2 linked regions of the Macaca mulatta genome follow. The protein of the gene in region 1 purifies or fractionates together with the protein of each later gene. This does not show direct contact. Links are inferred from orthologs where the notes say so. Each region holds a gene or a part of one and is shown on either strand. Other genes may lie near its edges.

What was found. The genes of interacting proteins can lie anywhere in the genome.
Region 2: the proteins of CTNNB1 (region 1) and HERC5 purify together in Homo sapiens (affinity purification with western blotting; 3 studies listed by BioGRID). This does not show direct contact. The link is inferred for Macaca mulatta from reciprocal best matches to the Homo sapiens genes CTNNB1 and HERC5.

Annotation. Positions count from the first base shown.
Region 1 is NC_133407.1:104,572,574-104,576,224, forward strand, and holds part of CTNNB1 (catenin beta-1), read left to right. Parts: intron 1-2,933; coding exon 2,934-3,037; intron 3,038-3,121; coding exon 3,122-3,460; intron 3,461-3,651. UniProt on the Homo sapiens protein: Key downstream component of the canonical Wnt signaling pathway.
Region 2 is NC_133410.1:97,791,307-97,794,957, reverse strand, and holds part of HERC5 (E3 ISG15--protein ligase HERC5), read right to left. Parts: intron 2,831-3,651; coding exon 2,771-2,830; intron 813-2,770; coding exon 719-812; intron 1-718.

The DNA.
Region 1 (3,651 bases):
GCAGGATGAGAAGGAACCTTTCTCTTGTCTGTATGAGAAGTGAGGGTTAAATGTTTTCCAGGTAGAGAAAAGGAACACCATGTGCTGTGTCTTTAGAACCAGGGGTATCCAGTCTTTTGGCTCCCCTGGGCCACATTGGAAGAAGAGTAATTGTCTTGGACTACACACCAAATACACTAATGATAGCTGATGAGCTAAAACAAACAAACAAAAAATTGCAAAAGAATCTCATAATGTTTTAAGAAAGTTTACGAATTTGTGTTGGGCTACATTCAGAGCTGTCCTGGGCCACGTGGCCCATGGGCTGCAGGTTGGACAAGCTTGCCTTAGAAGGAAAGAGATTGTGGAGATCCAGGTGCTGAAGAGAAGGTCTGTGTAAACAGAACTTAGTAAGTAATGAGGTGGATGGCCTGGTATGAGGTTGAGGTTAGGTAAGCAGAGCCATAACATGCAGGACTTTCTAGGTTCCTATAAGATGTTTACTACTCATGGAGTTTATTCATGCTTTATTCCAGCTTTGGAGCCATAGATACAGAATACTTGGTCAGTTTGGAAGGCTAGGTGGGATCCAAATTCTAAACGGTTTCTCGGGGTTATACTAAAGTATTGTCTGCTATCTTAAAAGGATGCCGAGACACTTTTGATGGTTGTTGATCAATAGCAAAGCATCACAGTGGTGTGTTTAAAATATTAATAATAGCATTGTTTAGATTAACAGTTTGAATGACCAAAAGGTAGAAGACCAGACTGCTGAGATGTTATAGGCTTTTAGGAATCAAATAGTTTGGTTTTAGAACTAAATAGCTAAGGGCAAATGTCTGAGATGTCTGAAAGAATCACAGAATGTAATAATATAGGAGCTAAGGGAGCAACCAAAAATGGTTTGTGGAGGGGACAGTATTGGTACCATGAAGATAAATGGAACCCTCAGAAGGCATCCTTAATTTTTGAACATAATAATTTAAGAAGCTGACTTAGGCCGGGCGTGGTGGCTCACGCCTGTAATCCCAGCACTTTGGGAGGCTGAGGCAGGTGGATCACCAGGTCAGATCGAGGCATCCTGGCTAACACGGTGAAACCTCGTCTCTACTAAAAATACAAAAAATTAGCCATTTAGCCAGGCATGGTGGTGGGCGCCTGTAGTCCCAGCTACTGGGGAGGCTGAGGCAGGAGAAGGAGAATGGCATGAACCCGGGAGGCGGAGCTTGCAGTGAGCCAAGATCGCGCCACTGCACTCCAGCCTAAGCGACACCATCTCAAAAAAAAAAAAAAAAAAAAACGAAGCTGACTTAAAGTGACTAAAAGGTCAGTAGGTAGCTGGAAATGTAAGGTACTAGAGAATGCAAGAGAGACAGGCTAGAGATTTGGAAGTTTCCCTTTTAGTATATAGGGGTAAGGGCAGCAGGGAACGGGAGATAGAGATGCCACAGAGTCATCTGCATGGGACTTTTTTTACCCTAGAACTGCTGAAACAGAATGTGTGTGTTTTAAAGTCTCTGTAGGCCATTCTGATGGACATCTGGGGTTAAAATCCATTCTCAGAGTTAATAGTTATGTAAAGGGAGGGAATGAAGTCTTAATGAGGGGAAAGAAGGTAGTCATTTCACAAATACTGAGCATCCTGAGTATCAATCTTATGCAGATCCTTCTATTAGTAGCTGGAGCTACTATGAAAAAGGAACCCAATAGAGGTGATCTTTGTCTTGTAGGGAAAGTGGACTAACTTATACTATGAAGGAGAAGTGCAGGGTACCGTAAGAATTACAGCAAATAGACTTCATCTGAGGAAATAAAACAGACCTAAAAGATGAAGGAGACAAGGAAAAGTATCTCTTACTGCATTTAGAAGTGGTTTAAGTTGAAGATGGAGGGGTGAAGTTAATCTAGTATGTGGGCATTGGGTTTCCATTTATACTCCTTTGCCAGAGTAAATGTCCCCCATTTAAGGGTCCTAAAGGATTGGAAGGTCGTGAACCTTGGAACACATGTATTGCAGTCAGTGAACTGTATAAAGTCCCTGGCAGTAAAGTGTTTTCATGCCGACTTTCTGGATTGTTCTTACCCCAGAAATTTACCTAGCTTCTTTAGGTCTTTAGTCAGATGTCACCTTCACAGTGAGGTGACCTAATTACTTAAAATTGCAGCCCCACTCCATTGTTTTTCTCCATAGCCCTTTAATATCATCTGACCTACTGTATGGTTTTAGTTTATTGTATATTTGTTGTCTGCCTCTTCCAACTAGATCATAAGTTCTGAGGGTAGGAACTTTTGAATATTTTTGCTCACTGGTCTATCTCCAGCTCAGAACAGGACCTGATAGTGAATAAATATTTTTGAAATGATTGAATGGATGAAAAGAAATTAATAAGAATATTACCGCTGGGCGTGGTGGCTCTCATGCCTGTAATCTCAGCGCTTTGGGAGGCCAAGGCAGGCGGATCACAAGGTCAGGTGATCGAGACCATCCTGGCTAACATGGTGAAACCCTGTCTCTACTAAAAAATATAAAAAATTAGCCGGGTGCCTGTAGTCCCAGTTGCTCGGGAGGCTGAGGCAGGAGAATGGCATGAACCCGGGAGGCAGAGGTTGCAGGGAGCCGAGATTGTGCCACTGCACTCCAGCCTGGGCGACAGAGCGAGACTCCGTCTCAAAAAAAAATATATTACCTAAGGGGGATAGTGGAGATAACAAAGACTTCTTCGGCTTAGGAAAGGAACAGTAGCTATTTGACAATTTGTCACTAGCGATGTGAACTGGCAAAACGAGGGAAACTGAGCAACATTCTAGAAAATGAGAGGAAAACAAATACTTAGGTAAAAGGAAGTAAACTCTGGAAATAAAGAAGGACACCTTCTAAGACTAGAAAATATATTTAGGATTGATAGCAACTTCTAGCTAATGACTAGGGTCTTACATCCTTTTTAATTTTCTAGGTGGAATGCAAGCTTTAGGACTTCACCTGACAGATCCAAGTCAACGTCTTGTTCAGAACTGTCTTTGGACTCTCAGGAATCTTTCAGATGCTGCAACTAAACAGGTAAATTCTGAGTAAATTGACGCCATGGGAATAGAGTCAAGATGAGTATGTGCTTGTACTGACCATTTGTTTTTATCTTCATAGGAAGGGATGGAAGGTCTCCTTGGGACTCTTGTTCAGCTTCTGGGTTCAGATGATATAAATGTGGTCACCTGTGCAGCTGGAATTCTTTCTAACCTCACTTGCAATAATTATAAGAATAAGATGATGGTCTGCCAAGTGGGTGGTATAGAGGCTCTTGTGCGTACTGTCCTTCGGGCTGGTGACAGGGAAGACATCACTGAGCCTGCCATCTGTGCTCTTCGTCATCTGACCAGCCGACACCAAGAAGCAGAGATGGCCCAGAATGCAGTTCGCCTTCACTATGGACTACCAGTTGTGGTTAAGCTCTTACACCCACCATCCCACTGGCCTCTGATAAAGGTAAATTGTCAAAGTAGAATTTACCTTTGTTGCAGAATTGAAAATGAAGCATCTCTAGCCGTTGGATGGCTAAGCATAGTGATCAATAAATAGGAATTGTATTCCTTAGTAAGTAGGAAGTATGGCTGCGATAGGGGTAGGATTCTGAAATGTTTGTGTAGTCAGAACTACTTTTAGTTGTTCCCAATAGA
Region 2 (3,651 bases), on another chromosome or scaffold:
GTACAAAAAAACAGGGAAATAATAAAGACTACATTAAGAAAAACTAAATTAATAAAGGAAGCATGCAGTGAGCCGAGATTGTGCCACTGCACTCCAGTGTGGGCGACAGAGCGAGACTCCATCTCCAAAAAAATAAAAATAAAAATAAAGGAAGCATGTTCGGAGCACCTGCAAGAAAAAAAACTTAAAGATAGTACTAACAGTGCTGAAACAGGAAGCAATCATCCCATAAAGAACAAGAACATTCTAGAATCTACAGAAAAGTGGAATGGAAAAAAAAAAACAAAGAATCCAGGCAGTCCCTGGTGAGAAGGATATTCATATCAGAAAAAATGTTCTTATTTCTACATTTACGCTTAAAAGGATTGCACATAAAATGTTCTTATTCTAGTGTGCCAATCTCAACAAATCCTTAATCATCTTCCTAAAGCCCTGAGTTGAAAAACTTCCCTCCCTCTAGGAATGTGTATGCATATATGTGCATGTGTGTTTGTGTACAGACACATTATTTAGAATATTTGTAACCTGTGTGACTACTATGCCAATTATTTCACCCTAAAAGGGCAAACTCCTAATTGTTATCTGAGTTTAACTTAATCTGAATATGCTACAAGGTCTCGGAGAATCCCTTAACACAAAACATTTCTTCTGAAATTTTGAGTTCTTATAAGAAATATTCTGGTCTATTTTCTTTCTCCACATAACAATCTGAAGATACCATGTTAGTAATCCAGTCCTTTTGGGTTAACTCCTTGAAGATGTTTCTTGCTTTATTTAAGTCCAAATAAACAGGCATCATTTCTGTAGTTCTTCTGTAGAAGATAAATTAAGTATCTTGTTAGATTATCTCTCTAGATGCAAAGTTTCTTCCAGAGCTTGCCCCATTTCAACAAAATTACATTTTTTCTCATGTATAACTATAATTGTCTAAATACAAATGCAATGTAGTAAACAACATGATTTTTTCTAAAATACCAAAAAATATCAAGGCTGCTTTAACTATATATACCATAAGACTTTAACTCAGATGCTGTCTTATCTGTAATAGATTAAAAAAATAAATATTTCTCAGTTTAAAAAAAATAGCCACAGAGGGAGGCTGAGACAGGAGAATTGCTCGAGCTTGAGAGGTCAAGGCTGCAGTGAGTTGTGAACATGCCACTGTACTCCAGCCTGGGTGACAGAGCGAGACCCTGCCTCAGAAAGGAAGGAAAGGAAGGAAAGGAAGGAAAGGAAGGAAAGGAAGGAAAGGAAGGAAAGGAAGGAAAGGAAGGAAAGGAAGGAAAGGAAGGAAGGAAGGAAGGAAGGAAGGAAGGAAGGAAGGAAGAAAGGAAGGAAGGGAGGAAGGAAGGAAGGGAGGGAAGGAAGGGAGGGAGGGACGAAGGGTGGGCCATAGAAAAAAGATAAATGTTTTTCGAAGGAACGAAGGAAGGACCAACCACAGGAAGGAAGGACCAACCACAGGAAGGAAGGACCAACCACAGGAAGGAAGGACGGAAGGAAGGAAGGACGGAAGGACGGAAGGAAGGAAGGAGCTCCACAGAAAAAAGATAAAGGTTTTTCCCATTTCTAAAAAATACATCCATTTTTTCCAGTTAAATGGACTGAAAAGTGGGAACCAAAAGAGGGAGCTTCTGACCAATAATTTCTTAGTACTTCAATATAAAGTCATTAATGAAATGTTTAAGTATCTTCTCATGGAAGACCTTCTAATGGAAGGTCATGAGGCCATTAAAATTATGTTACCGGCTGCGTGTGGTAGCTCACACCTATAATCTCAACACTGGGAGGCTGAGGTGGGAGGACTGCTTGAGGCCAGGAGTTCAAGACCAGCCTGGGCAACATAGCAAAGCTGCTGTCTTTACAAAAGTTAAAAAATTAGCAGGAGATGGTGGCACATGCCTGTAGTCCCAGCTACGTGGAAGGCTAAGGTGGGAGTATTGCTTGAGCCCAAGAGTTTGATGATGCTTAAGCCCAAGAACCATGATGCTGTAACTCCAGGAGACCTTGTCTCAAAAAAAAAAAAATACATATATATATATATATATATATATATATATATATATATATACATACATACATACATACACACACACACACACATATGTATACCAAAAAAGATAGAACAAAATGTAAAATGGGCAAACATTAAGTATAAAACAACGTATAAACAATGTGATCCAGCTGGGCATGGTGGCTTACGCCTGAAATCCCAGCACTTGGGGAGGCCAAGGCTGGTAAATTGCCTGAGTTCAGGAGTTCGAAACCAGCCTGGCCAACATGGTAAAACTCTGGCTCTACAAAAAAATAAAAAAATTAGCTGTGTGTAGTGCCATATGTCTGAAGCCCCAGCTACTCAGGCTGAGGTGGGAGGATTGCTACAGCCTGGGAGGCGAAGGTTACAATGAGCCAAGATCACACAACTGCATTCCAGCATGGGCAACGACAGGGTAACACCCTGTCTCAAAAAACAAAAACAAAAAACCAGTATGATCTCATTTTTTGTAAAAGAATACATTTGCATGAAAAAATAATATACATAAGTGCTAGCTATTACTCTTATGTGATGGATTATGGAAGATTTTCACTTTCTTTTTATTGTATGTATTTTTGACATTTTCTACAGCAAGCATATATTTACTTTTGTTAAAAAACAATTTTTAGAAAGGGACGAACACACAGCTAATTATTTTACCCTCCAATCATTTTTTATCCTCTTTCATGGTACTCTTAATACAATTTAATACAATTAATTTATTACATATATTACCTTTTCCTTAAAAAACTTCCAGTTAGACAAGCAGGAGATGAAAATATCTCTTGGATTTCCCTGTATTAGTAATAAGACACTGGTTAAACCAAATCACATGGTATACATACACACAGCCTCTTTATAGCATGAAACATGATAAATACAACATCTTATAACAATCCTTCTAACCTCTCCATTTGTCTCCTATCTGTACGCATATTATCTTGGCTTCCAAAAGTCCATTCTGTTTGGTAAATCTCAAAATTTCAGTGGCAAACATGGGAAATAAAAAAGTTTATACATACTAAGAGAAGCCTCAAATAAAGAGGAAAGGCTTGATTTATGGTCAGAACTTTCTTGAACAAACAAAATACTCCCACCCCACCAACTATGCAAGTCCTATTTATTTCTATTCCATTGAAGTAGAAACAAAATAAATTACCAGAAATTAAATGGGGGAAGAAGTATGCTGAGTTTCATCTTAGCAGTAGTTGTACAGTTCTTAATTATTTATGCTTGCAAATTATGATGCAATTATTTTGTGCAACCATTTTGTACAATCATTTTCCAGAATTAGAAAGTCATACTTTAAAATATTTCTAAAAGATGATGTTTGTAAGAATAGGCAGGAGTTCTATAAGACTGTAGGAGTTCTATGGTTTAGAGAAGAATGGTACAAATTGTTTGGCTAAGAATAACAGGAACACAAACTAATGGTTCCAGTATCGAATGGGACTGGGGAACACTATAGACTGTATTTTCTGGCCAGAGAGTCACAATATACATAAACAGAGGCCTGGAGAAGCCCTGCAGTAAAGAAAGCTGTCCTCATGGAGCTTACATGCTAGTTGTGATAGTTAGTTTTATATGTCAACTGGGCTAGGCCATGGTACCAAGAT